2 linked regions of the Stegostoma tigrinum genome follow. The protein of the gene in region 1 purifies or fractionates together with the protein of each later gene. This does not show direct contact. Links are inferred from orthologs where the notes say so. Each region holds a gene or a part of one and is shown on either strand. Other genes may lie near its edges.

Region 1 (16,594 bases):
CACTGTCTCACACCGTGGGAGCGATATCACTGTCTCACACCGTGGGAGCGATATCACTGTCTCACACCGTGGGAGCGATGTCACTGTCTCACACTGTGGGAGCGATATCACTGTCTCACACTGTGGGAGCGATATCACTGTCTCACACTGTGGGAGCGATATCACTGTCTCACACCGTGGGAGTGATATCACTGTCGCACACTGTGGGAGCGATGTCACTGTCTCACACTGTGGGAGCGATATCACTGTCTCACACTGTGGGAGCGATATCAGTGTCTCACACACATTTGTCCCTCAATGCATATCTCCTTGTGTGTATGTGTCTGTCTGTGTGTGTGTGTGTGTGTGTGTGTGTGTGTGTGTGTGTGTGTGTGTGTGTGAGCGTGTGTATGAGTGCGTCTGACTGTGAGTGAGTGATTGTGAGTGTGTCACCATGAGAGTGTGCGTGAGAGAGTGTGCGTGTGAGTGTGTGCATGTGTGTGTGTGTGTGTGTGTGTGTCTGTGAGTGTGAGTTCGTGAGAGTGTGCATGTGAGTTTGTGTGTAAGACTGTGTGTGTGTGTGTGTGTGTGTGTGTGTGTGTGTGTGTGTGTGTGTGTGTGTGAGAGAGAGAGAGTGCGTGTGTGTGAGAGAGAGTGCGTGTGTGAGAGTGCGTGTGAGAGAGTGCGGGTGAGAGAGTGCGGGTGAGAGAGTGCGGGTGAGAGAGTGCGGGTGAGAGAGTGCGGGTGAGAGAGTGCGGGTGAGAGAGTGCGGGTGAGAGAGTGCGCGTGTGAGAGTGCGCGTGTGAGAGAGTGCGTGTGTGAGAGTGCGTGTGTGAGAGTGCGTGTGAGAGAGTGCGTGTGAGAGTGCGTGTGAGAGAGTGCGTGTGAGAGAGTGTGAGTGTGTGTGTGAGAGAGTGTGAGAGTGTGAGAGTGCGCGAGTGCGAGTGCGTGTGAGAGTGAGAGAGAGTGTGAGTGAGTGAGTGACTGTGTGTGTGTGTGTGTGTGTGTGTGTGTGTGTGTGTGTGTGTGTGTGTGTGTGTGAGAGTGTGTGAGTGTGTGAGAGTGCGTGACTGCGTGAGTGGGGTTAGACACTGTTCTGGCCCCTCTGCGCTCCCAGGGCACACGTCCCTGCTCTGTACCTTGTCTGCAGGCTGCTGTTTGGTGACAGTTTGGGGAACAAGGACCCAGACTGAGCTCCGTCTGGCACCGCTTCACAAATGAAGAATGCTGAGGTTAGAGCCCTCAGGAGACAAGTCACCAACTATAATTACCGAGACCAACCAGCTCCGTGTGTGAGCCAAATTCTCCTCATCCCCTGCCCAACTGTCTCCTCTCTGTCTGCACCACCCTCACCCTCCCTCTCTGACTCTGTGAGCGCCTGTCTTTCTGCGCCCCCACCCCCCACCCCCCATCGCCCTCTCACTCTCTCTATTTCTACCCTGCCCCTCTCTGCAGCTTCCTCTCTGGCTTTCTACCTCTCTCTTTCTCTCTCACACACAGTATGGTTGTCTCGCTCTATCTATTCCTCCACACCCCACCCCTCTCTCCTCCATTATCTCCGTCAGTATCCTCTACCCGCTCCTGTGTTTTGCCCATAGATGCCATGGCTGGATGGTGGGACTGGAAACCACACTGGTGCGAATATGAGAATGTTATTCACCAGGTGCAGACAGACCTAAAATGTCATCACACTCCAAGTGGAAAGTGGGGCTGCTGCAGACTCGGGGCAGTTTTTGACAGGATGGGCCGAAGGGTCTTTTCAGTGCTGTTTGACTCTAGGAACCTTCTTCCCTCACATAGTCTAGCACCTTGTTGATGACTGTATGAGAACGTAGCTACTAAACATACCCAAACCATCTCCACCGCACCCCGCTCCAAGTCTTTCCCTCCGCCCCAGATTCCATTTGCAGCTTTATTCTGCTCCGATTTCACCCCCAAGCCCCACCACCATCAGTTCTTTCATCAAAAACCCACAAGCTACAGCAGTGATCCTGCTTTCCGTGAGGGATATTTTTATCTGACCGCGATCTGGGGCGTGCTCACCTGTCTTCTGCCTGCCTTTGGTGCTCATGTTGTCAGTCAAAGCAACTCCTGAAAAACAGCAGAATGTTTTCCCATCATTGACGGTGAATTGCTCGAATGCACTTCGCGGTGTCCCGCTAACATCAGGCCCATTCCACAGGCCTGAGTACAAAACTCAGAGATACTCCTAGCATCGCTCTAATCCTCCCCATCTCTGTGCGAACCCTCATTCAGAGATTACACCCGCTTGCAAGCGTCTCACAAAGAGCTAAACAAATTCCCCATGTTTTCCCTGTAAAATCCCGAACAGCCTTGTCTGTTTCAATCAGGTCACCTCTCGGCCTTCCAAACTCCAAACAGTACGGGCCCACCCTACCCAAGGCAGTCTCTCCAGACCTTGTATAGTCCGAGTGAACATTCTCAAACAATTTCCAACAGAGAAACATGAGGGGATTTTAGGTCAGATGATTAAATGCTTTGTCAAATAGAGAGCAGTGTTTTATACAATCCCGAAAGTGTGGCAACAGGCCACTTGGCCCATCAAGTCCACACTGATCCTCTGAACAGCATCCCACTCGTACTCACCTCCTTATCCTATCCCTGTGTCCCTGCATTTCTAATAGCTAACCCACCCTAACCTGGGAGGAAACCCACGCAGACACGCAGAGAATCTAAAACTCCGCACAGACGGTCGCCCGAGGGCGGAACCGAACCCAGGTCCCTGGCGCTGTGAGGCAGCAGTGCTAGCCACTGAGATACCGTTCTGTACGCTAGAGGAAAGTGAAGGAGAGAGGGCATGGAGAGGTTTGAGGAGAGAACCACAGAGTTTGGGGCCCAGGCGACTGAAGGCGACGGTGGAGTCAGGCCTGTTGTAGTGGCCAGACCTAGAGAAGGGCAGGCATCTCAGAGGGTTCTAGGGACTGGAGGAAGTTGCAGAGATAGGGAGGGGAGAAACCATGGAGAGATTTGAAAATTGGGGCATTGTTGGTCAGCAAGTGTAGGAGGGATTGGGGTGAGCTCAGACACTGGTAACAATCCCAAACGTGGGAGAGCAGTCATTAAACTGTCAAGTCTGAAGGTGACGGAGGGATGGACTTGGGTTGAAGCCCCTGATTGGCTGAGACAGGGTAAAGGGAAGTGTACAGTCTCAAAGACAACACAACTTTCTCCTTGAGGTCAGGTATGGCCTGGAGAATGTGAGTTGAGTTCAGCCTCGCACTGCAGAAGGGATGGAGTAAGGAGCGAGAGAATAGGGTTGGCAGTGAGAACTAAACTCAATGATTTAGGGAATTTCTGCTCAGCTGCCAGTGGTAGGCTGACAATTTAGAAACATTGGAATAGTCCAGAAAGATAATGGTTAAGTGGATGGGTGTTGCCATTATCCACACCACACAAATGCCAGGCTATGACCATCACCAGTAAGAGAGAATCTTTGACATTCAATGGTGTTACCATCACTGAATCCCCCACTGTCAACATCCAGGGGGTTGCCATTGACCGGAAACTCAACTGGACTCACCACGTAAACACAGTGACTTCAAGAGCAGGCTGGAATCTGGGAATCCTGCGGTGTGTAACTCCTCTCCTGACTTCCCAAAGCCTGCCCACCATCTACAAGGCACAAGTCAGGAGTGTGATGGGATACTCCCCACTTGCCTGGATGGGGGCAGCCCCAACAACACTCAAGAAGCTCGACACCATCCAGGACAAAGCAGCCACTTGATTGGCACCACATCCACAAGCATCCACTCCCTCCACCACCGACGCTCAGTAGCAGCAGTGTGTACTATCTACAAGATGCACTGCAGAAATTCACCAAAGATCCTCAGGCAGCACCTTCCGAACCCACAACCACTTCCATCTAGAAGGACAAGATGGGGGGGTGTGAAAGGAGACTGGGATGGCACGGTGGCTCAGTGGTTAGCACTGCAGCCTCACAGGGCCAAGGACCTGGGTTCGATTCCAGCCTCGGGTGACTGTCTGTGTGGAGTTTGCACATTCTCCCTGCGTCTGCATGGGTTTCCTCCCACGGTCCAAAGATGAGCAGGTTAGGGTGGGTTGGCCATGGGAAATTGCCCATTAGTGTCTAGGGTGGGAAATGCAGGATAGGGGAGGGGGTAGGTGTGTCTGGGTGGGAGGGCCTTCAGAGGGAGGGTGTGGGCTTTTTGGGCCAAATGGTCTGCTTCCAGACTGTAGGGGCTCTCTGATGACTGTGCGTGAGTGGGTAAATGGCTAAGGGGAATGTGGGGGTGTAGGGTGAGAGGCTGATTTGGGGGGTGGGGGGTGGGAGTGTGGGGCTGATTTGTGGGGTGGGGGGGTGGGAGTGTGAGGCTGATTTGTGGGGTGGGCGGGTGGGAGTGTGGGGGTGTGGGAGTGTGGGGCTAATTTGGGGGGTGGGATGCACAGTGAAGTGGAAGTTCTAGGTCTGGGCTCTAGGGGAGAGAGTTGGGGGAGTGGGAAATGAGTGTGAGGGGAAGGGTCTGGTGGAGGGAGGTAGGTTTAGGATTGTGTTGAGAGATTGGGGAGTGGGTCTAGGGTGCTGGAGGATAAGTGTCGAGCGTGGGGGGGGGGTCAAGTGCCCATTCTGATTGTCAGTGCGAATTGGAGCGTGAATTTTATAGAAAGTGAGGAGCTGCTGAGAAATGCCCTCGCTGTCCCGCTCACTGACACAGAACCGAAACACTCATGAGAAATGGACAAAAACACAGCAGGCCATTCAATAGGATCGCAGCTGATCCAACATTCCTCACATTCCACTTTCTTGCCCTTTCCCTGTAACCCCTCATTGTCCAACTGTTGGAGAATCTGTTTCAGACTTACATATACACAAGGACTCTGCCCCCACAGTTCCAAAGACGCACAGACCTCTGAGAGATGGCATCGTTCCTCTTCTCAGTCTGGTGCCCCTATAATCTGAGACAATGCCCTCTGGTCCTAGACTCTCCGACGAGGGGAAACATCCTCTCAGCATTTACCCTGTCAAGTCCCTTAAGAATCTGATCTGTTTCAATGAGGTCACCTCTCATTCTTTGAAACTCCAGTGATGATGAGCCAATCTGTTTAGCCTTTGCTCATAAATACTCCCCTATCCCAGGGACTACTGTGGTCAACCTTCTCTGAACTGCCTCCAATGAAAAAATATCTTTCCCTAAACAGGGGGACTCAAACTGCTCACAATACTCCAGAGAACGGCAGATGCTGGAGAATCTGAGATAGCAAGGTGTGGAGCTGGATGAACACAGCAGGCCAAGCAGCATCAGAGGAGCAGGAAGGCTGACGTTTCGGCTCTGGACCCTTCTCCAGAAATGACTCTTCTTCTGGAGAAGGGTCCAGACCCAAAATGTCAGCTTTCTTGCTCGTCTGATGCTGTTTGGCCTGCTGTGTACCTCCAGCTCCACACCTTGCTATCTCAGTTCTCCAGATGTGGCCTCACCAGCACCTTGTACAGCTGTGATAAGACTTCCGTACTCTTTGCTCCAATCCCTGTGGAATAAGGGACAACTTTCCCTTAGCCCTTCCTGATTCCCTGCTGCCCCCTGTGCACTAGCTTGCTGTGTTTCATGTACTAGGTACCCCCCAACTCCCGAAATCTGTTTGTATTGAAGTTTTCTGTGGCTCATAGTCTCTGAGTAACTCAGAGCTGGTGGGTGGGGATCATTATGGGAGGGATGTAGATCATCCACCCACCATCCTCTGCATGGTTCCCATATACTGCCCCATTCTCCAGCAACAACAGCCTCTAACCTTCCCCATAATAGCTCCACATCATGGCAGAAGCTTCCGGAAGCAGAGACTGTCCATCGGCATGGTGATCGGCGTTCACGGGCCGCACCAGGGCTGAGGGGAGGGCATTGACTGCCTTCCTCAGGGAGTGGGCCAGAGGGGCAGAAATAGGGCAGGGCCCGGGATTTGATCGCTGGGTGGGGAGCAGACATGAGGGTGTGGGAGCAGGGATGGAGAAGCCTGTTGTGAGAGATCCTCTGGCTGCGATCGGGTGGATCAGAATGGATCCGGGTGCGTTGCAGACCCTCCCCATCTTCGCCCACCCCACACACCCCCAGCGCTCCACAACACCCACCCCCACCCCCATCCCACTCTGCCAGGTAGAGAAGGATGGCGCAGCGAAAGGCAGGTAGAGAGGGATAGCGCAGGAAAGTTCCCCTTCAGCACGGGAGGCCACTCAAAAAGTTAAGGTTACCACGAAATGTCAGAACCTGTGAGCTGTGCTTTCAAGTGCGGTCATTTCTTACAGAACGCCATGGCAGACTGATACACAGCAAGATCCCAACTCCTACAACAACTGTTCAGGGCGCAGTTGTATTGAGGATGGGATATCAACCCTGGGCGTAGAAACCAGGAGCAGCTATATGCCATTCGGCCCATTCAGCCTGCTCCCCCATTTGATACAATCACAGCTGATCATCCAACTCAGTTCCCTGTTCCTGCTTCCCCCCCGCCCCCGTCGATTCCCGTTGATCCTTTTAGCTGTAAGAACGATATCTAATTCCTTAACAACATTCAATGCTGTAGCCTCAAAAGCTTTCCCTGGCAGAGAATTCCACAGGCTCCCCGCTCTCGGGACGAAGACTTTTCCCCTCATGGCAAAACTAATTCCAGGAAAATAACACGGACGGAAAATCCCGAGATCCAAGAGACAGCTCGTGGGATTTTTAAATGCAACTGAAACACAAAATTAGACCGTGGGAATAATGGATCATGGCAAAGACTCAATTACCACAGTGCATTACTCAAATGGCACAGACCCTCTGACAGTGCAGCACTCCCTCAGTACTGACCCTCTGACAGTGCAGCACTCCCTCAGTACTGACCCCCCCGACAGTGCGGCACTCCCTCAGTACTGACTCTCCGACAGTGCGGCACTCCCTCAGTACTGACCCTCTGACAGTGCGACACTCCCTCAGTACTGACCCTCTGACAGTGCGGCACTCCCTCAGTCCTGACCCTCTGACAGTGCGGCACTCCCTCAGTACTGACTCTCCGACAGTGCAGCGCTCCCTCTGTACTGACCCTCTGACAGTGCAGCATTCCCTCAGCACTGACCCTCCGACAGCGCAGCACTCCCTCAGTACTGACCCCCCCGACAGTGCGGCACTCCCTCAGTACTGACCCCCCCGACAGTGCGGCACTCCCTCAGTACTGACCCCCCCGACAGTGCGGCACTCCCTCAGTACTGACTCTCCGACAGTGCGGCACTCCCTCAGTCCTGACCCTCCGACAGTGCGGCACTCCCTCAGTACTGACCCTCTGACAGTGCGGCACTCCCTCAGTACTGACCCTCTGACAGTGCGGCATTCCCTCAGTACTGACCCTCTGACAGTGCGACACTCCCTCAGTACTGACCCTCTGACAGTGCGGCACTCCCTCAGTACTGACCCTCCGACAGTGCGGCACTCCCTCAGTACTGACCCTCCGACAGTGCGGCACTCCCTCAGTACTGACCCTCTGACAGTGCGGCACTCCCTCAGGACTGACCCTCCGACAGTGCGGCACTCCCTCAGTACTGACCCTCCGACAGTGCGGCACTCCCTCAGCACTGACCCTCTGACAGTGCGGCACTCCCTCAGTACTGACCCTCCGACAGTGCGGCACTCCCTCAGTACTGACCCACGATTTGGTGACTGGGGTAAAGCAGAATCCAGTCAGATTTGGATGATGTGTCCTGGTTAATAACCCAGCCTGGGGTAGTCCCTCTGTTCCTGTATAAAGACTGACTCTACAGCGTTAGTGCAGTGAATACTGCAGTGAGGGGAGGGAGAGATTGGGAACCACCCCTTCCTTCCCTCCTTCCATCCATCACTCCCTTCCTCACCCCCTCCCTCCATCCATCCATCCATCCATCCCTCCCGTGTCAAACCTGAGACATTGAAATGGTTAAAGATCAGGAATATCTCGCTGTGAGGGAGAGCTGCAGCTGGAGGAGAGAAGCTCAGTTTTGAGCAGACCCGGGGTTACATTCTTACCTGGTCCTTTATCTACAACATTCCCTGTACTTTCTGTGTTAGGTTGGGAATGCAGTGCCACCGGGAGATGTTGGAGAGGATCGAATGAGTTTGCGAAGCCTGTTCCAATGGTGTCCTGCGAAGTTCTGCCTGTTTCTCTCTCCCCTCCAGCCAAAGTGAGCTGGGGGCCTGCCCCGAGATGGTCAGTTTGCTGTCGGGGAGCAGGGCTGTGTGCCAGCTCCTTCAGAGATGTTCATTCGAGGGAGGAGAGTGTAAACGGGCTCCTCGGGAGGTCAGCACAGCTTCCCCAAAGCAGCCCCTTCCTGAGCGAAACAGGCAGCCTCGCCCAGACCGCATTAACCCTTCGACAGCTGCATCAGGCTGACTCGGGGAGAGAGACGGTACAAGCTCATCACACACACTCCCTCACACACTCCCACTCACTCCCTCATACACACACTCACTCCCTCCCTCATACACACACTCACTCCCTCTCTCACACACACACTCACTCCCTCTCTCACACACACACACACACTCCCACACACACACACACGCACTCATTCCCTCACACACACACACTCCCTCCCACACACACTCACTCCCTCACACACACACACTCACTCCCTCACACACACTCCCTCACTCCCTAACACACACACTCACTCCCTCACACACACACTCACTCCCTCACACACACACTCCCTCACACTCTCACTCCCTCACACACACTCACTCCCTCACACACACTCACTCCCTCACACACACACTCCCTCCCTCACACACACTCACTCCCTCACACACACACTCCCTCCCTCACACACACACTCTCACTCCCTCACACTCACACACACACCCTCACACTCACAGACACACACACTCCCTCACACACACACACTCACTCCCTCACACAGACACACACACTCACTCCCTCACACACACACACACTCTCTCCCTCACACACACACCCTCACACTCACAAACACACACACTCCCTCACACACAATTCACATACTCTCTCTCTCACACACACCCTCTCTTTCCCTCTCTCTAACACACACACACAAACACACACACACACGCACCCTCTCTCTTTCACACACACACTCACCCTCTCTCTCTCACTCCCTCACACATACACACACACACACACACACACACACGTACAGTCTTAAACTGCCACCCACACATGAGCCAACGTCCTTGTGGTATTTTCACAATTTCCCCAGGGCTGTCGGTGTAATTAGTCTGGAATGTACTGCCTAATGATGGCCATAAGACAATTGTCAGGGAAAAACCCATCTGGTTCACTAATACCCTTTAGGGAAGGAAACTGCCATCCTTACCTGGTCTGGCCTACACGTGACTCCAGACCCACAGCAATGTGATTGACTCTGAACTGCCCCCTGGGTAATAAATGCTGGCTTAGCTAGTGATGGCATCATTGAATCAGTGAATTAAAAAGAAACAAGCTCCTCCACATGAGTGACCCTCACCCCCAATGTTTACGTACTCACACCCCATCAGACTAAGGCCCACACCATCACCTCAAATAGTGCAAACCGCAGACCCCCATTTTGGATTAAAAAGCCACGATTAATTTCTATGGAAAGGAGGTCTAAAGATGATATTATGAAAACTTGGGAAGGGTTTATACAACTTAGAAACATAGAAACTGGGAACTGGGGTAAGCCATTCAGCCCCTTGAGCCTATCGTGCTCTTTGGTGAGATCATGGCTGATCTCTGATGAAGGGTCTAGGCCCGAAACGTCAGCTTTTGTGCTCCTGAGATGCTGCTTGGCCTGCTGTGTTCATCCAGCCTCACATTTTATTATCTCAATTCCCTGTTCCCACTTTCTCCCCAAAATCCCTTTGATCCCTTTAACCCCAAGAACTCTGTGTGATTCCTTCTGGAAAAGATTCAATGTTTGGGCCTCACCTGCTTTCTGTGATAGTTAATTCTACAGGCCCCCCATTCTCTGTGTGAAGATGCTTATCCTCAACTCAGTCCGAAATGGATTACCGTTGTATCCTTCCTGTTTCTAGACTCCCCGATCTTCGGGAACATCTTTCCGATGTTTACCCCTGTCCAGCCCTGCCAGAGTGATATAGGTTTTGATGAGAACTCCCACCGTTATTGTTCTAAATTCCAGTGAATATAGTCCTAATGCAGTATCTCTTCATATGTCAGTCCCACCAGTCTCACCAGATGGTGACACAGTCTCAGCCCCTCTCTTTCTATGAATTTATTCCAAGCAGCTGAACCTGGTTGTGGAGCAGGGTGAAGGGGCTGTGTGCTGCTTCACTGGGACCTGGGTTCGATTCCACCCTCTGTGTGGAGTTTGCACATTCTCCCCGTGCCTGCTTGGGTTTCAGGTTTCCTCCCACAGCCCACTGACGTGCAGGTTAGGGTGGATTGGCCATGGTAAACACACACTCACAGGAAGAGGATGGGTGGGTCTGCATGGGATGCTCTTTTGGAGGGTCATTGCCGATTTGATGGGCTGAATAGCCTGTTTGCACACTGTAGGCATTCTCTGAAGCACCTCACTGCTCTAATCCCATGTCCCAGCACTTGGCATCACAAGTACAGACCTGAACACTTTGTCTATGTGCTGAGGACTTCTGCCTCTCCTACCCTGACATGCAGGGAGTTCCAGGCTCCCCTTCACCGCTGGGATTCCTCACATCCCCACTAAACCTCCTGCCTCTTTCCTTAGACACCCTGCACGCTGATCTTTGAGCCCTCCATCTTCAGGGGGAGAGTCTGTCCCTCTCTCTGCTGTGAGCATCCCCAGTCTATTGGAGTTAGTTCGGAAAGTCTGTAGAACTGCTTTTAACGATGTTTATGCTTGTTTGATGGCACTTCATTGGATCTGGAGAATGTAGTGGAAGCACAGCGATGGAATTTTTCTAGTGCCCCTTGCTGAGGTGTGGGGCCCAGAACTGGACGCAGTCTGGGTTCTGCTCAGTTGATGTCTCTGCCCTGATCCAGAGGAAACTGGCTCTTCGCTTGCTCCTGTGCCTTTCTCCCGCAGGCATCGCGAGAGCGTTCGGCGAACCCTCCCAGGTCCTAGATGCCCCAGGGGTATTATCCAAAAACAAGATGCTGTCCCTACACTGAAACCAGTCACCACCACCGCCCCCCCAACCCCCGAGCTCACCACCAGGTCTCTCACTCTTACTTCGTGAATCAACCCAAACCCCATTTCTAGGCAGGTACAAACTTCCTCCAGCTCAAAATTGGGACCACCATAGACCCTCTCATTGGTCACATACACAGGCTCCACTTCCTAGCCTCCAATATCATCCGTAACGACCATCAGAGGGACAGATCCAGAAGGTTCTATGATCTCCTGCAGCCTCAGTGCACCTGACGATGAGTATGTGATCTCGGTGCTAGCCCCACATTTCAACACAATAAGAACGGCCCCCCACACCCACCCAAGTCCACACCCCCAGGCACTCCCCCACCCCCTGCCAGGCTCAACCCTATCCCAAACCGCATTGGGCCATCTTCCTACAGTTATCTACAGCAGTTTCCAAACCTGGGTCCTCACTGCCCCCACCCCCACACCCTACCACCGCGCGCCCCCCCCCCCCCCTTCCCCGACTCTACTCCAGAGACGAGGACAGGAAATCTCAAACTTGACACCGTCCAGGCGATTCCGCCATTTTTATATCGAGGGCAGCAGATACACGAGACCACCACGCCCTGCACGTTCCCCTCCGAACCCCTCACTGCCCTGACGTGGAAATGTATCGCCGTCCCTTCACTCGCCCTGGGTCACAATCCTGGGAATTCCCTCCCTAAGGGTCACCCCACAACAGCTGGGCTGCAGCGGTTCAAGGAGGCAGCTCACCCCCCGCCCCCACCTTCTCAAGGGGCAACTAGGGATGGGGCAAGACATGCTGGGCCCAGCCCAGAGACTGCCACATCCTGGGAGTGAATACAGAAGCCCTCAGTGGATGGATGAGGTGAGGTGGGGTGGGGGAGGTGTTTAGCTGAGCAAGGGCATTACGGGATTGAAAGGGCTGGGATTGAGTGGGGTTTCTGGTTCCTGTCACACCCCCGATGCCGCGGTGAGGCCGAGGAAAGCGTTAATCCTGGCCCTGGGAAAGGCTAGGCCTTGTTAGTGTTCTCTCTCTCTTCCTCATTGGATTGGAGCCAGGAGACAGTGGGATCAATTCACTCTCCACAATCTGGAAAACATTAAGCCCCTCGATGCAGCACGGCCGGGGCGGGGCCTGGGGGGGGGGAGGTGCGGGGGTTTCGGGGAGAAACAGGAGAGTACACGGGTTAAGGGGCAGAAATGGGGAGGGGGAAACGGGAGGAACAGCGAGAAGAAACGGGGAAGGAGGGGACACATAGGGAGGGGGAACAGGAGGGGACACATGGGGAGGGGGAACAGGAGGGGACACATGGGGAGGGCGAAATGGGGAGGGGGAACAGGAGGGGACACATGGGGAGGGGGAACAGGAGGGGACACATGGGGAGGGCGAAATGGGGAGGGGGAACAGGAGGGGACACATGGGGAGGGCGAAATGGGGAGGGGGAACAGGAGGGGACACATGGGGAGGGGGAACAGGAGGGGACACATGGGGAGGGCGAAATGGGGAGGGGGAACAGGAGGGGACACATGGGGAGGGGGAAATGGGGAGGGGGAACAGGAGGGGACACATAGGGAGGGGGAACAGGAGGGGACACATGGGGAGGGGGAACAGGAGGGGACACATGGGGAGGGGGAAATGGGGAGGGGGAACAGGAGGGGACACAGGGGGAGGGGGAGAAACAGGTGTGGAGAAATGGGGGTGAGGAGGGGGAGTTGGTGAGTGGAACTGAAAATTGTTGATCTATCAAAGACTCTCCCTCAGCGCTCACTCAAACCTATCTCAGCCCACTTACCCCTCACACAGCACTCACCTTCCCCCTCACCCCCTCACACCCCTTCAGAACTCATACCCCTCACTCCTCACACTGAACGCCCTCACCCATCAGCCTTCCCTTCCCTACTCCCCTCACTGCTGTCAGCCTGCACTCCCCTCACTGAATGCTCTCTCTGTCTCCTCTCCATTTCTTCCTTTCTCATTCCCTGTCATTAGTATCATCCGTCTCTCTAATCTCTCTCCACACCTCTTCCAGTCAAGTGGTACTCTCATTGTTTCTCTCTCTGCCCGTCTGTCTGTCTCTCTCTCTCCCTCTCTCTCTCTCTGTCTCTCTCTCTCTCTCTCTCCCTCTCTCTTCTGTCAGTCTGTCTCCCTCTCTCTCCCCCCCCTCTCTGTCTCGCGCTCTCCGTCTCTCTCTCCCTCTCTCTGTCTGTCTCTCCCTCTTTCTGTCTGTCTGTCTCTCTATCTCTCCCTGTCTGTCTCTCTCTCTCCCTCTCTGTCTCTCTCTCTCCCTCTCTCTGTCTGTCTCTCTGTCTCCCTCTCTCTCTTTCTCTCTCTGTCTGTCTGTCTCTCTCTCTGTCTCTCTCTCTCTCCATTTCTCTTTGTCTGTCTCTCTGTCTCTCTCTCACTGTCTGTCTCTCTCTCTCTGTCTGTCTGTCTGTCTGTCTCTGTCTCTCTCCTTCTCTCTCTCTCTGTCTGTCTGTCTCTCTCTCTCTCTCTCTCTGTCCCCCAGTGTCTTTCTCTCTCTCTCCCCTTCTTTCTGCCTGTCTGTCTGTCTCTCCCTCTCTCTCTGTGTCTCTGTCTCTCTCTCTCTCTGTCTCTCTTTCACTCTGTCTGTCTCTCTCCCTTTCTGTCTGTCTGTCTCTCTCTCTGTCTGTCTCTGTCTCTCTCCTTCTCTCTCTATCTGTCTGTCTCTCTCTAAATCTCTCTCTCTCTGTCTCTCTCTCTCTCTCTGTCCCCCAGTCTCTCTCTCTCTCTCTCCCCCTCTCTCTGTCTGTCTGACCCTCTCTCCCTCTCTCTCTCTGTCTCTGTCTCTCCCACTCTCTCTCTGTCTTTTGTCTCTCCCTCTGTCTCTCCCTCTGTCTGTTTCTCTGTCTCATGGTCTCTCTCTCTCTCTCTCCATCCCCTCTCAGGACACTGTATCTCCAATCTCTTGTCTCTCTGAGTAATTGTGTGTGACGGTCGGCCTGTCGAGCCCCCCACCCTTGCCCAGGGCTGTGACCCAGGCTCTGATGCTGCAGGCCTGATCTGTTCTTCGGTTCTGAGAGCAGCTTTGCGTGCTGTGGAACAATGGGCGCCTGACCCGCCTCTCCCAGTATACAGAGACTTCATTTCCGTCCGATATCCCGTGCTGAATGCAGGGGAGTCTGACGAAGCTCCCGAGGGAGAGGCGGGCTGCACCCTACAGGAATTCCAACTCAGTCACAGGCTGCTCCTCCCAACACACACTTCCCATCTGTCAGAGACCGGGGCATATTCTCACCCCACACTCTACCTGTGTTACAATCAATCTGCAATGTGGAGGGAGCTTTACTCTGCATGTAACTCCATGCTGTCTGTGTCCTGGGAGTGTTTGATGGGGTCAGTGTAGAGAGAGCTTTACTCCGTATCTAACCCCACGTTGTCCCTGGGGAGTGTTTGATGGGGACAGTGTAGAAGGAGATTTACTCTGTATCTAACCCCGTGCTGTCCCCGTCCTGGGGAGTGTTTGATGGGGAGAGTGTAGAGGGAGCTTTACTCTGTATCTAACCCCGTGCTGTCCCTGTCCCAGGGAGTGTGTGATGGGGACAGTGTAGAGAGAGCTTTCCTTTCAGTTTAAAAGAGTAGAGGGAGATGTACTTTTCTTTAGTCTGAGCAAGTGCTGTGATATAAGCTCTCGCGATGCGAAGTGGAGCCCTTGGCTGAGCGTTATCGAGTTGCGGGGAGGGTTCACACAGGGTACATTGTAAACTTTCAAACAGCATTTAACAGAGAGCTGGAGCTCCCAGTCTGTACTCATGGGGCAGGACTCGAGAGGGAGGGAAACCCGCACTCCCCAGAGTGCTGACCCTCAGACCCACTATCCCACGCACACATCCAAACCCCCACGTTGCGGCTCTACAGGACATTGGTTCGGACCACTATTGGAGCACTGTGTGTAATCCTGGTCTCCCTGCTATGGGAAGGATGTTGTGAAGCTTGAAAAGATTTACAAGGGTATTGCCGGGGTTGGAGGGCTTGAGCTACAGGGAGAGGCTGAATAGGCTGGGGCTATTTTCCCTGGAGCGTCGGATGCTGAGGGGTGACCTTATAGAGGTTTATAAATTCCTGAGGGACATGGACAGGGTGAATAGACAAGGCCTTTTCCCCAGGGCAGGAGGAATCCAAAACCAGAGGGGCATGAGTTTAAGGTGAGAGAGGGGAAAGATTTAAAAGGGTCCTAAGGGACAACTTTTTCACACAGAGGGAGGTGTGTGTGTGGAATGAGCTGCTAGAGGAGGTGGTGGAGGCTGGAACAATTACAACATTTAACAGGAATCTGGTTGGGTACATGAATAGGAAGGGTGTAGAGGGATATGGGCTGAATGCTGGCAAATGGGGCTAGATCACTTTAGGATACCTGGCCAGCACAGAGGAGTTGGGCCGAAGGGTCTGTTTCTGTGCAGTGAGAGTCCGTGTCCATCCAGGAGAAAGCATAGCCCCGGACCAGTGCCCCATCCACCACTTTCAACACTCCACTCCCTCCACCACTGGCGCTCAGCAACAGCAGTGTGTACTATCTACAAGATGCACTGCAGAAATTCACCAAAGATCCTCAGACAGCACCTTCCAAACCCACGACCACCTCCATTGGGCACCCAGGGGCCCCACCAGCTACACCCAGCCAATATCTTTGGAAAAGATTCCCTGATTTTCGAGGCTGGAGGTGTCTAAAAGATCCATGGAAGTTATTTTTAACTGACAGTGGGATGTGTTTTCAATAAAAGTACAAGGCTCGACCCAGCCTGGCCTTCCTGTTGAAGTCACCAAATATTCAGATCTCACCATCAACAATGTGCTTTATGTAGCAGCTTGAAAACAGGGAAATATCCCAGATTAACGGGAGAGCGAGCACTCTGAATCTCACACTCGCCATTTAAGGAGGTATTAGCTCAAGAGAACATTGGTGAGGCAAACAGATCTGTTACAGAGGAGGGTCCTAAAGGAGGGGCATAGAGAGAGAGAGAGATAATGAAAGGGACAGTGAGCAAGTCAGGCAGTGAGAAAGAAAGAGAAAGATAGTGAGAGAAAGTGAGTGAAAGCGAGAGAGCAAGACACTGAGAGAGAAGAGGGAGAGTGTGAGAGAAAGACTGAGAGAGTAAGGCAGTGAGACAGTGGGGAAGCCAGGCAGTGAGACAGTGAGTGAGATAGTGAGTGAGCGAGACAGTGAGAGAGTGAGGCAATGGGGTAGTGAGGGAGTGAGAGTGAGAGACTGGGGCAGTGAGAGAGTGAGGCAGTGAAAGAGTGAGGGGGTGAGGAATGAGGTGGTGAGAGAGTGAGGGAGTGAGGAATGAGGTGGTGAGAGAGTGAGGAAGTGAGGCTGTGAGGGAATGAGGCAGTGACAGAGTGAGGGTGAAAGTGAGAGAGTGAGGCAGTGAGAGAGTGAGGGTGAAAGGGGTGGAGCGGTTTCGGATGAGAATTCCCAGAGTTTGAGGCAGGGATCGCAGTGGGCTGGGATGTGGACGTACCTGTGTGCAGAATGTGAGGAGGGCAGCGATCTGGAAGGA
Region 2 (16,243 bases), on another chromosome or scaffold:
AGAATAGAATCAAAAATCCACATTCTGTGTTCCTTCTATGTAAGTGGGCTACTGAAAGATAAAAGCACAAAAAGCAGTCACTTTTTTTTTCATTCATGGGATGAGGGCATCGCTGGCTAGGCAGCAATTATTGCCCATCCCCAATTGCCCAGAGGGCAGTTAAGAGTCAACCATATTGCTGTTGGTCTGGAGTCACATGTAGGCCTGACCAGGTAAGAATAGCAGTTTCCTTCCCTAAAGGACATTAGTGAACCAGACGGATTTTTCTCCCCCAACAATCAACATTAGACTTACAGTCATCATTAGACTCTTAATTCCAGATATTTATTGAATTCAAATTTCACCATCTGCCATTATCTGGGTCTCTACATAACAGCTTATATTCACTAGCTAAAACGTCACCAACTTGAAATGTTAACTCTGTTTCCATCCACAGATGTTGCCTTATGTGCTGAGTATTTCCAGCTTTTTTTTTAAACTTCTCTCGATGGAGATTTGCTTCAATTATTCTTAGTGTCAGTAACTCAAATTGGAATACACCTTCAATACTCAAAACATGAACTTCACTTCCAGAATACTGAGAACAGTTTTAGTGCCCTTAACTAAGATAAGTTGTACTTTAATTGGAGGCAGGTCAGAGAAGACTATTTGATCCTGGATATGGAGGAATGTTCTTTAAGGAGAGCTTGAGTGGGTTCTCATGTACTCATTGGAATTTAGAAGTTCAAGAGGCGACCCTATTGAAACATATAGAAATTGTCAATACAAAAACTGTGTTGGGTGTTTTGAAAAGCATTAAGGTAGACAAGTCCCCAGGACCTGAGGAGATCCTCACAGAATACCGATGGAGGTCAGGGAGAAAATTTTTGGGGCCTTATATGAAATCTCTGCATCCTCTTTAGTCACAGAAAATCGGTCCCAGAGGACTGGAGAGTAACCAATGTTTTTCCTTTGTTTAAGTAGGGCACCAGGGATAATGTGGAAAATTTTAGGCTGGTGATTCTTACATCAGTGGCAGAGAAATTATTGAAGGAGATTTTCAGAGACAGGATTCAATCACATTTAGAAAAACATGGACTTATTAGCAACAGGCATGGCTTTGTGCAGGGGAGGTCGTATCTCACAAACCTGACTGAGTTTTTTGAGGAAGTGACAAAGATGATTCATGAGGACTAGGATAGTTGTCTACAGGGACCTTAGAAAGGCCTTTGACATGATCTCTCATGGCAGACTGATATAGATGGTGAAGTCACATGGGATCCATGGTGAGCTCGTTAGACAGATACAGGACTGGCTTGGTCATGGAAGACAAAAAGTAGCAGCGGGAGGGTGTTTTTCTGGCTGGAGATCTGTGATCAGTGGTGTAAGGCAGAGGTCAGTGCTGGCACCCCTGTTGTTTTCAGTAAATAATTTATTTGGAGGAGAATATAGGTGGTCTGACTAGTAAGTTTGTGGACAACGCAAAGATTGATGGAGCTACAAATAGTGAGGAGGATTGTCAGAGGATACAGCAGGATAGGCTGGAGAGTTGAGCGGAGAAATGGCAGATGGAATCCTGACAAATATGAAGTGATGTATTTTGGAAGGTCTAATGCTGAAAGAGATTTACACAGGAAATAGCAGAACCTTTAGAAATATTAACACACTGACCAATCTAAACGTACAGGTCCATAGTTCCCTGAAAGTAACAACACCAAGTGGATAAGGTGGTCAAGAAGGCATATGGCATTCTTGGTCAGGGTATGGAGTATAAAAATTGGCAAGTAATGTTGCAGCTGCATTGAACTTTAGTTAGGGCCACGTTTGAAATACTGTGTACAGTTCTGGTTACCACACTACTATAAGCATGCAGAAGTTTTGGAGAGGGTACAGAAAAGGTTTACCAGGATGTTGCCTGGTTTGGAGGGTATTTGCTATGAGGAGAGATCGGACAAACTCGGTTTGTTTTCATTTGAATGCCAGAGGCTGAGAGACAACCTGATAGAAATTTACAAAATTATGAGAGGCATGGATGGAATGGATAGTCAAAGTCCTTTTCCCTGGGTAGAAATGTCAATTACTTGGGGTCACAGGTTTAAGGTTAAAGGGGGCAAGCTTAAGGGAGATGACAGAGGACCATTTTGTTTTACACAGAAGGTGGCTAAGTGCCTGGATTGCACTGCCGGGGGCGGGTGACAGAAGCTGATACAAAAGCAACTTTTAAGAGGCACCTTGACAAATACATGAATAGGCAGGCAATAGAGGGACACAGACTGCACAGCAAAAAAAGGTTTTAAGTTTCAAAAAGTGTCATATGTTGGTGCAGGCTGGGTGGGCCTGTTACTGTGCTATACTGTTCTTTGTTTTTATACGATTCGTAGGGTAAAATAAAACAAAGAATTGCTAATGCTGGAAACCTGAAACAAAAAAACAGGAACAAAGAACAAAGAAAATTACAGCACAGGAACAGGCTCTTCAGCCCCTAAAATCTGCGCCGATCCACATCCTCTATCTAAACATGTCGCCTATTCTCCAAGGATCTGTGTCCCTCTGCTCCCTGCCCATTCATGTATCTGTCTAGATACATCTCAAATGACGCTATCGTGCCCGCCTCTACCTCTCATGATTTTGTAGACCTCAATCAGGTCCCCCTCAACCTCCGTCTTTCTAATGTAAATAATCCGAATCTACTCAACCTCTCTTCATAGCTAGCACCCTCCATACCAGGCAACATCCTGGTGAACCTCTTCTGCACCCTCTCCAAAGCATCCACATCTTTTTGGTAATGTGGCGACCAGAACTGTACACAGTATTCCAAATGTGGTCGAACCAAAGTCCTATACAACTGTAACATGACCTGACAACTCTTGTACTCAGTACCCCATCCGATGAATGAAAGCATGCCGTATGCCTTCCTGACCACTATCAACCTGCGTTGCCACCTTCAGGGTTCAACGGACTTGAACACCCAGATCTTTTTGTGCATCAACTTTCCCCAGGCTTTTCCATTTACCACATAGTTCACTCTTGAATTGGATCTTCTAAAATGCATCACCTCACATTTGCCTGGAATGAACTCCATCTGCCATTTCTCTGCCCAACTCTCCAATCTATTTCTATTTTGCTGCATTCTCTGACAGTCCCCTTCTCTATCTGCCACTCTACCAATCGTAGTGTCATCTGCAAACCTGCTAATCAGACCATCTATACCCTCCTCTAGTTCATTTTGGTATTGTTAGAAAAACTCTGCAGGTCTGGTAGCAATCAGTACAGAGAAATAATAGAGTTGACATTTACAGCCCAGTGACCCTTCCAGTTCTGATGAAGTTTCACTAAGCTCAAAACATTAACTCTGTTTTTCTCTCAGACCTGCTGTCAGATCTGCTGAGTTTCTCCAGCACTTTCTGATTTCATTTAAGATTCCTAGGGGTCTTGATCAGGTTTCCCTCTAATTTTGTGAACTGCATGAACTCCTGAAATGTGTGAGTGGCAGCAACTTCTGGAAACAGAAGTCAATGCCATGACTGGCATGTTTATGCCAGTCGCTGAACATCAGAGTGGTCACGTGGTTTACAGGGAATATAGGTTTTGATTACTCATGTGGGAGAACCTAGAATGAGAGACATAATCTCAGAATCAGGGGTCACCCAGATAGGACAGATAAGAAGGCATTTCTCCTCTCAGAGTAATGAAACAGATAGCTGTAGAGGGTGGGTCATTAAGTATATTCAGGACTGAAATGGTCTCATTTTTAATCAGTCAGGGAATCTAGGGTTATGGGAAAAGGGAGCAAAGTGGAGTTCAGAATTACAAGTACAGCCATGATTTCGTTGAATGGTGAAGTGGATTTTATGGGCTAAATGCCCTACTTCTGCTGCTACATCTTATGGTCTTATTCCTTACTCTATTCTAAAGGCATATTTAGTCCTTTTGATTACAAGAATTAATCCAACTAAAGGGCCAATCTCCTACTGTGAACAAAGACCTGCAAGGTACTTCTGGACCCCTCCACCTGCACAAGTTAACAATCTGTAAGCATCACCTGAATCACACAATGGTTCCTATCTCTGCAACAGCCTATAGCCCGACAACCTTTCAAGATCTTTGTTCACCTCCAGTTCTGACCAATCATGTCCCTGGTTTTCATCACTCTATTGATGGTTGTGCCTTCATCTTACTCAGCTTAAGCTCTGGCATTCCCTCCTTAAAAATGCTCCTTAAAGGGAGTCAGTGACCCGATGGTAATGTGACAATGCACAGATCCAAACCGATCCCTGGGGACACAAGTTTGAATCCAACCATGGTGAAATTTGAATTTGATTAATAAATCAGGAATTAAAAGCTATCCTAATGACGACCATTAAACCATTGTTGATTGTAAAAACCATCTGGATCTAATGTCCTCCTTTTAGAAAAGAAAATCTGCCAGCCTTATCTGGCCTGGCCTACTTGACCCACAACAATGTGGTTAATTCTTAAATGCTCTCTGAAGCCTCACAAGCCACGCAGTTATACCAAACACTAAAGTCTAAACAAAGGAATGAAACCAGCAGACTACCCAACATTGAACTGAGCACCAGCAACAACAATTGTGAATCTAACCATGCCAAGTTGTCCTTATTAACATCTATTAAATGAAGCAGATTCAACATGAGAAACTACATTTTTTACACAGCTAGTTATCATGTAGGGTATGCTGCCTGAAAGGGCGTAAGAAGCAAATACAATCATAACTTTCAAAAAGCAATTGCTTATATACTTGAAGGGAAAGATTTTTCTGGGTTATGGGGAAACAGAGGGGAGTGCAACTAGTAATACAGCTCTTTCTAAAAAGTGGCACAGGCACATCGGACCAAAGTGACTCCTTCAATACTTTCTCATTCTGTAATTCTATGATTATTCCAAAAATTTCTTTGTCTGCATCAGATTTGGATGCCTCATTCAAAGAGAAAATAATTTCCCTTTAATTCTCAGGGATTTTTTCCCTTTCTTTATTTCTTAAGCTTGAAAGAGCTTATGGTTTACATTTTTGCTAACCTATCTGAAAGTTTATTTGATGAAATGTGAGGCTGGATGAACACAGCAGGCCAAGCAGCATCTCAGGAGCACAAAAGCTGACGTTTCGGGCCTAGACCCTTCATCAGAGAGGGGGATGGGGGGAGGGAACTGGAATAAATAGGGAGAGAGGGGGAGGCGGGCCGAAGATGGAGAGCAAAGAAGATAGGTGGAGAGGGTGTAGGTGGGGAGGTAGGGAGGGGATAGGTCAGTCCAGGGAAGACGGACAGGTCAAGGAGGTGGGATGAGGTTAGTAGGTAGCTGGGGGTGCGGCTGGGGGTGGGAGGAAGGGATGGGTGAGAGGAAGAACCGGTTAGGGAGGCAGAGACAGGTTGGACTGGTTTTGGGATGCAGTGGGTGGGGGGGAAGAGCTGGGCTGGTTGTGTGGTGCAGTGGGGGGAGGGGGTGAACTGGGCTGGTTTAGGGATGCAGTGGGGGAAGGGGAGATTTTGAAACTGGTGAAGTCCACATTGATACCATATGGCTGCAGGGTTCCCAGGCGGAATATGAGTTGCTGTTCCTGCAACCTTCGGGTGGCATCATTGTGGCAGTGCAGGAGGCCCATGATGGACATGTCATCAAGAGAATGGGAGGGGGAGTGGAAATGGTGTGCGACTGGGAGGTGCAGTTGTTTGTTGCGAACTGAGCGGAGGTGTTCTGCAAAGCGGTCCCCAAGCCTCCGCTTGGTTTCCCCAATGTAGAGAAAGCCGCACCGGGTACAGTGGATGCAGTATACCACATTGGCAGATGTGCAGGTGAACCTCTGCTTAATGTGGAATGTCATCTTGGGGCCTGGGATGGGGGTGAGAGGAAAGTTAAGGCAAATGTCAGGAAGAACTTCACTCAAAGGTGTGGTGGTGGTGGTGTTGGTGTTGGACTGGGGTAGACAAGGTCAGAAGTCACACGACACCATGTTATAGTCCAACAGGTTTGTTTGAAATCACAAGCTTTCAGAGTGCTGCGCCTTCATTACTCACACCCCCATCCCAGGCCCCAAGATGACATTCCACATTAAGCAGAGGTTCACCTGCACATCTGCCAATGTGGTATACTGCATCCACTGTACCCGGTGCGGCTTTCTCTACATTGGGGAAACCAAGCGGAGGCTTGGGGACCGCTTTGCAGAACACCTCCGCTCAGTTCGCAACAAACAACTGCACCTCCCAGTCGCACACCATTTCCACTCCCCCTCCCATTCTCTTGATGACATGTCCATCATGGGCCTCCTGCACTGCCACAATGATGCCACCCGAAGGTTGCAGGAACAGCAACTCATATTCCGCCTGGGAACCCTGCAGCCATATGGTATCAATGTGGACTTCACCAGTTTCAAAATCTCCCCTTCCCCCACTGCATCCCTAAACCAGCCCAGTTCACCCCCTCCCCCCACTGCACCACACAACCAGCCCAGCTCTTCCCCCCCACCCACTGCATCCCAAAACCAGTCCAACCTGTCTCTGCCTCCCTAACCGGTTCTTCCTCTCACCCATCCCTTCCTCCCACCCCCAGCCGCACCCCCAGCTACCTACTAACCTCATCCCACCTCCTTGACCTGTCCGTCTTCCCTGGACTGACCTATCCCCTCCCTACCTCCCCACCTACACCCTCTCCACCTATCTTCTTTGCTCTCCATCTTCGGCCCGCCTCCCCCTCTCTCCCTATTTATTCCAGTTCCCTCCCCCCATCCCCCTCTCTGATGAAGGGTCTAGGCCCGAAACGTCAGCTTTTGTGCTCCTGAGATGCTGCTTGGCCTGCTGTGTTCATCCAGCCTCACATTTCATCATCTTGGAATCTCCAGCATCTGCAGTTCCCATTATCTCTGAAAGTTTATTTGAGCTGTCAACCTTTGAGTAATGAAGGCGCAGCACTCTGAAAGCTTGTGATTTCAAACAAACCTGTTGGACTATAACATGGTGTCGTGTGACTTCTGACCTTGTCTACCCCAGTCCAACACCAACACCACCACCACCACACCTTTGAGTGAAGTTCTTCCTGACATTTGCCTTAACTTTCCTTTCATAGGTAGTGGGGTATGGTCCCTTCTTTCCAGCATATTGTACCTCATTATGTATGGCTATGTTTTCAGTTCTGGGTTATGATGACCAGCATTCTCGATAAGGAAGGGTTTATTGGTGGCACCCCTATCTGCAAGACGGAAGTGTGTGGATTCAAAAACCCTCCAAGTCCTAAAATCAAAACAATCAGAGTTGACACCCTATGGAGTACGATCATGCAGATAAAATATTGCCCTCTGACCATTCCCCACCGACGCCAAACATGCCTCTGCTCTATTTGCCCCTACTGCTAATTATGTCCCGTCTGTCTCCCCATGCTACTCCCACCGCTCCATCGCCTAAACCTAAACCTAAACTTAAACCTAAACCTGTCCTGGCCTTCCTTCACCTGTCCCTCTCCCTCCACCTCCTGAGGCAGGACAAGCCCTCAGATGACAGTTGAGGGCCCACGCCTCTCGCCTGGAGTCTGCCGGTCGAATGTTCCGAAAGCACCCGGTCAATGTCCAACAACCCGAACCTACCGTCAATCGGGGACGGAGGTGAAGACCTGATCCCGGGTTCAGGCCGCTGGCGAGCGCCGCGTGCACCGCCTATAAAAACCGGAATCAAACAACCAGAGCAACAGACAACGTAGACAGTGCGGCTGCGCAAACACTGGGAAATACCGGCTGGGAAGCGCCTACTCCACTGCGGTAGCGTGGCCGAGTGGTCTAAGGCGCTGGATTTAGGCTCCAGTCATTTCGATGGCGTGGGTTCGAATCCCACCGCTGCCATAAGTGTTTTCTTTTCCAAAACATTCAAGCACATCATAACTTTTTGAATAATAGAGCTTGAAGATTGCACGTTCAACTAGCTATTCAGATCATAACCAAAGACATTTTGATAGAAACAATCGTTGTATTGTTGCAGAAAAGAAGGAGACCACATAGCCTATCAAGCCTGTGTCAGCTCTCCGCTCGAGCAATCTACGTCCAGCTGTCCCAGTTCTCCACCTTCCCCCCACAGTCCAGCATCTTATTTCCCTTCGATTTTTATTCATGTCCCTGAGCGAAGCCACGATTGAACGTGCAAATACCACCTTTTTCAGCCAGTGCATTCCAGCTCTTCAAGCACTTGCTGTCTCGAAACATTTTCGGATTAATCAATTTACAGCACAGAAGGAAGGAGCCATTCGGCCCACTGTGTCCACGTTGGTCAATTAAGATCTGCCTACACTAATCTCATTTACCAGCTTTTGGCACTTGACCCTGGAGGCAACGAGAGCATAAATGAAAATACTGCTCTAACGTAACAACAATTTCTGATTCAATAGCCCCTAGGGTAGAGAGTCCCAGGTTTCCACTATCCCGTGGGTTTTCCTCAAGTTATTTTTGGCTGGAGGACTACGTAATTTTCATTACTGCCTCACTGGGCCAAATAATCTCCTTCTGTGCTATAATCACTCTTAAATTTATCTAGTGAGTTGCTCTCAGATGCTTCAAAAGAGTGATATGAAACAAAAAAATGGAGACCAAGCCATGTAAGGAGATGTTAGGACAGCTGAGGGTTATGTTTCAAGCAGCATCCTAAAGGACAATAAGGAGTCAGAACAGTTTAAGGCAGAGACTGTCATAGATTAGGCCTCAGTAACTGAAGACAAGGCTGCCAATAGTGCTGCAACAGAAATCAGAGAGCACCAGAGCTCAGAGGAAATTTCATTCTAGTATAGATGGATGCCAGTAACTTTTGATGCAGGAATACTAACTCCAGGCAGGGAATCCTGGAAGTTGTGACAAGGCAAGTAAATGTGTAAATACTGCTTAAATCTTGCCAGAGTTTCTGACTCAATCACTCTTTGAAGTGCTGTAACGATTTCCAGATTTCCAAAACCTCTGAGTGAACAAAAAATCCTTGACTCTCTACACCTTACCTTAAATTTATGCCTCCTTGTTATTTACCCCTCTACTAACTGAAAAAGTATTTTTGTATTCACCCTTTCAATGCCCCTCATAATCTTATACATTATCAGGTCTCCTCTCAATCTTCACTGATCAAAGGAAAATAACCCCAGTCTATCTACAGCTTCGGATCTCCATCCTGGGCAGCATCTCCTTTGCACCGTCACTCATACAATCACCTGTTTGCTATTATCTGGCAACCAGAGCTGCATACAGTCCTCCAGTTGGGGCCTAACCAGCACTTTATACAGTCCCAGCACAGCTTCCTTGTTCTTGTATTCTGTGTTTCCACTAATAGATGCAAGTATTCCATACGCCTTCCTAACCACATTATCTACCTTCCTTTAAGGATCACGTGGAAGTATCCTAGCATTCATTGTGTAATCTCCTGCCTTGTTAGTCCTCCATAAGTCTCACACTTTGCTGATGGTAATTCCATTTGCCACTGCTCTTCCCACCTAATCCATCTATTGATATCTTCCTGTAGTTTATGACTATCCTCCTCACTATTAACCACCCAACCAATTCTCAAATCATCCACAAATGTTTTCATTTTACCCCCTGCATTGAAGTTCAAATAGTGTCATACAGCACAGAAGAGGTCCTCAGCCTATTGAGGCTGTGCTGACCTATCTACACCAATCGCACTTTCTAGCACTTGGCCCATAGCTTTGAATGTTGTGACATTTCAAGTGTACATCCATATGCTTCTTAAAGGTTATGAGGTTTCCTGCCTCTACTGCCCTCCTAAGCAGCACATCCCAAATTCCCATCACCTCTTGGTGAATTTGTCTTTTCTGTTAAATCCCTCTAATTCTCCTTCCCTTTGCTATTGGTCCCCTCATCATTGACCCTTCAATTGAGGACCTTCCTATCCATGCTGCCCATGGCCCATATAACATTATTCACCTTAATCAGGTTCTCCCTGAGCCTTCTCCACTCTAAAGAAAACAAAATGAGCCTATCCTTTCTCTATTCATAGCTGAAGAGCTTCAACCAAGGCAACATCCTGAATCCCCTCTGTACCCCCTCCAGTGCAATCACATCCTTCCTTTAGGGTGGTGACCATAACTGTACAAACTACTCTAGCTGTGGTTTAACCAACATTCTCTACAGCTCTGACATATTCTTCATGTTCTTATAACTTATGCCACAGATGATAAAGGCAAGTGTCCCATTATGCCTTCTTGACTACCTTATTAACCCATCCTACCACCTTCAGGGTTTTGTGGATCCCATATAAAATCATTAATATACACCACAAATAGCAAGGCCTCAGTACTGAGCCTGTGGAACCTCACTATAACGAAACTTGCAATCGCAGAAATATCCCTTTACCATCACCTTCTGCTTCCTGATTCTCAGCCAGTTTTGGATCCAACATGCTGCTTTGTCATGGATCCCATGGATTTTTATTTTCCTGACCAGTCTGCTGTAGAGAACCTTACTAAAAATATTGTTAAAATCCAAGTAGATCATATCAACACTCCTAGTTACCGCCTCAAAATATGCAATCAAATTTGTCAAATATATTGTTCCCTGAACAAGTACACATTGACAATCTTGACTGATCATGTCCCTCCAAACGCAGATATATACTGTCCCTCAGAATTTGCTCTAATTACTTCCCCACCATGTAGGTTAGACCAACTAGCCTATAATATCTTGGTGTAGCCCTTCCTCTTTTTTTTCATAATAGGACAATGCTGGCAGATATCCAGTTCTCTGGCACTCCAATGGTTGCTGGAAAGGTTTTGAAATATACTACCATAGCCCTGATATCTTCTCCCTTGCCTCCCACAACTGTCATCTGGGCCTACAGTAATCTACTTTACAGTTGCTCAACCCATTAGTACCTCCACTGGCATTCTGTGTTCATTTCTACTAATATTTCACAGTCTTCCATCTAGATATATAAATACTGATATTGTCCTTTTCCATTATGAAGACCGTACAAAGTATTCATTGAGGACTGTTTATGTCTTCTGGGACCATACACTGACTAACTCCATGTTCCCTAATGGGGCCTAATGTCTTCCTAATTATTCTCTTTCTGCTTATACATTTAAGAACCCGGTTGGGATATCCTGTAAACCACCCAACAACACTTTCTCATGCATGCTCTATAGCTTTCTAATTTCCTTTTTGTGTTGCCTCTGCACTTTATATATTCCTCTACAACTCTGTCATATTGAGCTGTCATAGGGATTTTCTAAGCCTTTGCTTTTGTGTCCCTTCCAAGGATTTTCGGACCTGGTCCTACCTCTTGTCTTCCTGGAAATTTATCCTGTAGACTTTCTATTTTTTGCTTGAATGTCTTCCATTGTTATGACAATGTCTTATCGGTAAATAGCTGCATTCAGTCCACTTGGATCAAATCATATCTTAGCCTATCCTCTGGCCCATTATCATCCTTTTCCACAACTATCCTGAAGCCAAATGAGCTATGGTCACATCTCCAAAATGCTCCTGTATTGTTAGACCTTTAACCTGTCCAGGTTCATTTCTGAATATTAGTTCCAGAACCGCCTCCTGCTTTGTCATGCTTCCTTTATCCAGGCTAAAAAAAACTTTTCTGGATGGAATTTAAGAATTTTGTTCTTTCTTTAACTTGCATACTAGAACTGTCCCAGTTAATATTTGGGTAGTTACATTCCCCAACTATTACTACTTTTTTATTCCTATACTTCCCTGAAATTTGATCACGTTTGCTGTTCTATCTCTCCCTAACTGTAAAGAGGCCTGTGGTACACATCCAACTTTTCCTCTTTTATGTTTCTATTCCTACTGATATGGCCTAATCTGATTACTATTTAAAGATATTGTCCCTCCTCACTGCTGTAACTGATTTCCTGACCAATATCACAATTTGCCTCCTCTTGAACCCCCCTCTTTATCTCATCTGAATACACTGTACCAGCTCATTTACCTTATTCCTCAGGCACTTTGCATTAAAATAAATTCCATTTAGCCTGGCTAAATTCATTTCTTTCTTATCTTTTTACAGGGATAGTAGGAACTGCCAATGCTGGAGAATCTGAGGTAACACGGTGTGAAGCTGGATGAACACAGCGGGCCGAGCAGCAGCCTGCTGTGTTCATCCAGCTTCACACTGTGTTATCTCTTTCTTATCTTGTCTGTTTCTTCTGCCTTCCAGACTCATTTATTCACATTTTAAATTTTAATTCTACCTTAGCTTCTCTTCCGTCTGAATTACTTTTCAGGATCCCATCCCTTTGCCAATCTAGTTTAAATCTGCCCTCTCAGCATTGTCAGAGCCTGAAAAAAGCAGAAATGCTGGAGAAACTCATCTGGTAGTGTCTCGGAGAGAGAAGATATGAAGCAAACTCATAAACATTAACACTGTTTTTCTCTCTCCACAGATGTTGGCAGACCCACTGATTTTCTCCAAGATTTTGCTTTTATTTCAGTTTTCCAACATCAGTACTTTGCTTTTATTTAGAGTTAGCATTAACAAACCTCTCCATGAGGATGTTAGTTCCACCCTGATTCAGATGTAACCTGTCCAATTTGTACAGGTCCCAACTCCCCTAGAAATGGTCCCAAAGTCTCAGTAATCCTAAACTATCCCTCCTCTGTAATCTCTCCAACTAGACATTATCTGCTGTTTCCTTTTATTTAAAGATTAGATTCCCTTCAGTGTGGAAACAGGCCCTTTGGCCCAACAAGTTCACATCACCCCTTGGAGCATCCCACCCAGACCCATCCCCCTCCCCCTAAATCCACACACCCCTGAACACTACAGGCAATTTAGAATTGCCGATCCACCTAGCCTACACATCTTTGGACTGTGGGAGGAAACTGGAGCACCTGGAGGAAACCCACGCAGACACAGGGAGAATGTGCAAACTCCACGCAGACAGTTGCCTGAGGCTGGAATCGAACCCAGGTCCCTGGTGGTGAGGCTGCAGTGCTAACCACTGAGCGACCATACCACCCCATACTTACACTGGAACTGGGAATAACCCAGAGATTACCACCTTTGAAGTCCTGCTTTTCAATATTCTATCTAACTCTCTAAGGTCTGCTTGCAGAACCTCATTTCTCTTTCTTCCCATGTCATTGGCTCCAACGCAGACCACAACCTCTCTGCTTCAGAATCTCTGCCAGCCAGCCTTTGATGATGTCACCCAAGAGGTAACATACTAACCTGCTCAATCAGACCAGGATTCTGGTTAGACCACAGTTTGAATGTGACCCCCAGCAATAGTTCCTGAAATACAAAGTCAAGTAATGCAACAAAACCCCTGTTTTTCAGTACCTTGCTGAAGAGTCCAAAAAAACCAAGTATTTAATAAAAGACGGAACCACAAGGCTCCCTGTTTAAACAAGCCTATTTACTTAATACAAATCAAAGAACATGAACCTTAATAATTAAATTCAATCTTAAATATTCAATTACAATAAAGTTAAGAAAAATATAATTAACACAATTACTTATACTTCTAATCAAGTTTCCCAATTCAGTTTGCCTTTTTTATCCATTTATCTTACAGCCCTAAACATTCAAATCAACGACGTGCCAAAACTTTGATGATTAACCACTTGGTTTGGTCATTGTGTTATTAATGATTTGCATATGGGCTAAGATTTCTTGGGCTTTCCATTTACTTCTGGGAACAATGCCCCTTCAAGTCTCCTCCAGCCTTCGGGAAGGCATGGTTAAGCTGGATAGCTCTTTGTCTGCCAGCACAGGACATAATGTGTTGAATAGCTGGAAGTTTTCTATTTTTAAAAAAAATCTGATTCTAATGATTTAGAATTTGCAATGTTTAAGTCTGGCCTAGAGACTATGATTTTACAGAAGTGTTTAAGATGCTCAAGGGAATGTTCTAAAACATTACCTCTAATTAAACAGCAAGTGTAGGTTCAAATTTAATAAAAAGGTAAATTTCAAACCGAAAGCAAGAAATCATCAGGAGTATACTGATTAGAATTAGAATTAGGTTTATTGTCACGTACTCAAATAGAGAAGTACAGGATTATATGGAAAATCAGAAGATGCAGAAGGCACCAAATCTCATGAGATGACAGCAGTGATTTGAGAAATATTGATTTGTATATAATAATATTTAGATTTTTTTTGATAGTCCTTTCTGTCAACTTTGCCTCTTTTTCTTTTGTCTGATTTGATGCATGTCAATCCCTTTCAATTCGTGTGGACAGACTGACCTTCTTTGATTCCCGCAGACAGTATTGCAGCCAAACTCCTGCCTTCTAACACTGCAGTCAGAAGCTCCATCCATTACATTCATGTTTAATCTGTCCATTGTTTCCTGTATATCTGGAGTATACTGGGGAGGCGATGGCCTATGGTATTATTGCTGGGCTGTTAATCCAGAGACCCAAGTAATGTTTGGGGGACTCAGGTTTGAATCCCACCATGGCAGATGGTGGAATTTGAATTCAATAAATATCTGGAATTAAGAATGTAATGATTGTCAAGAAAAAAAAAATCTGATTCACTAATGTCCTTTAGGGAAGGAAACTGCCATCCTTACTTGGTCTGGCCTACGTGTGATTCCGGACCCACAGCAATGTGGTTGACTATCACTGCCCTCTGGGCAATTAAGGATGGGCAATAAATGCTGCCTGACCAATGAAACCCTCATTCTGTGAATAAAAAAAAAGTTGAAATAACTGCAAAGGGGCTGCTATCCTGTTACCAAGTCACCCTTTATTTACCGTACACAGTACACTGGCTGTAGCCAGCCAGCTTGGGAGTCAGTCCTCAACCAAGGAGATTCTAATCTCCTAGTTATTATCAGTCAGCCAAGGCTTTCCTGATTAGCCCATGCTAACAATCCCATTCAACAACCACTTAGTCATTGAGGTCCCCTTGGTTCCAATCACTGCATCGCTCTCCCGCTAAGTCTGGGGATGTAGGCCCAGTCCTTCATTTGTAGCTTCACTTGGACCACTTTCGTCTCAGGTCTGGTTCCTCTGACTTGGACTCAGACAGGGTACGTGTACTGGACCGTGGCCCATCTCTTGCATCCAGAACATCTTGGGGAATTTCCTCCTCTTCTTCCAGTGGTAATGGTATCGAGGCTGCATCCATTTCAGACCAATGTGCACACAGCAAATGCCCACAAACAGCAACATGATAATGACCAAATGTTTATCCGTGGTTTTGAACCTGTTACAATCACCCCCAAGTTTGGTTATGGTACAGTTAGGTTGTTTTTTAAAGTTTGGGAATCCCTTTACCTATTAATAGAATAAAGCCACAAAGGTTCCACAGTTTTAAACAAGCAAATATATTTTTTTTACCAAATCAAGAAAGTAAAATAACTTGCAATATCTGTCTTTACTCTAATATCAAAAACCAACATGAGGAAAACTGTGATGAAGAACAATACACTGCAAATTAAACTGCAACTGCAACCAAAACAAATCCCCAGGACTTGTTAGCAACTAACCCAGGCATCTAGAGCCACTGCCTCACAAATGTCTCATTAACACTTGGATATTATTTTCAAGGGATAACACTCAACACACTGGGCCTTGAAACGCCTCGAATTCATTACAGATCAACACACCTCCAGTGACCAGGATAGTAAGGCCCTTCAAATCTGTAAAAGGACAGCTGGGCCTATTGCAGGTGGCATGACCCACTCTGCATGCATGGGACCCTCTGCCCATTAGGGTTCAGACTTTTTGACCTTTGCTTGGAAACAAGGTCAGTTATTTTTGTTACAGGTTAAACTTCAATATCCAGGATCTTTGCGATCTACTTAAGAATGTGAACAGGAACTCAGTTTAATGTTTCATCCAAAGGACAGTACTCCTGACAGTGTCAGACTTTCCCAATGCTGTCACCCAACAGTGCACTGTTCCCTCAGTACTAAGCCTTTCACGGTGTGATGGTTCCTCACTATTTCCCCTCCAACTGTGCAACACTCCCTAAGTACTGATCAGTCAACAGTTCAGCACTCCATTAGCACTGACACTCTGTTAGTGCAACACTTTCACAGTACTAACTGACAGTGCAATACTCCTAGTGTTGACTTTACAACAATACAGCTCGCATTCAGTATTGATCCTTGATCAATGCAGCACTCCCTCAGTGCTGACCTTCTAACAGTACAGCGCAGCCTTGGTACTGGTGCTGCAACACTGCGGAGTTCCCTCAGTATGGCACTGGATATACCAATCTGAACAAGTATCCAGTGTGGCTATTTAAACAGTACGCAGTTTGATGTTTATTAGGCTGGGGTCATGGGTCTCAGATTC

What was found.
Region 2: the proteins of hspa12b (region 1) and eef2k purify together in Homo sapiens (affinity purification with mass spectrometry; 3 studies listed by BioGRID and IntAct, with this or other methods). This does not show direct contact. The link is inferred for Stegostoma tigrinum from reciprocal best matches to the Homo sapiens genes HSPA12B and EEF2K.

The regions. Positions count from the first base shown.
Region 1 is NC_081354.1:187,831,825-187,848,418, reverse strand, and holds the start of hspa12b (heat shock 70 kDa protein 12B), read right to left. Parts: upstream 8,301-16,594; 5' UTR 7,983-8,300; intron 7,714-7,982; exon of another isoform or gene 7,627-7,713; intron 2,071-7,626; 5' UTR 2,051-2,070; coding exon 2,023-2,050; intron 1-2,022.
Region 2 is NC_081376.1:34,080,020-34,096,262, reverse strand, and holds the start of eef2k (eukaryotic elongation factor 2 kinase), read right to left. Parts: upstream 7,678-16,243; 5' UTR 7,571-7,677; intron 52-7,570; 5' UTR 1-51. UniProt on the Homo sapiens protein: Threonine kinase that regulates protein synthesis by controlling the rate of peptide chain elongation.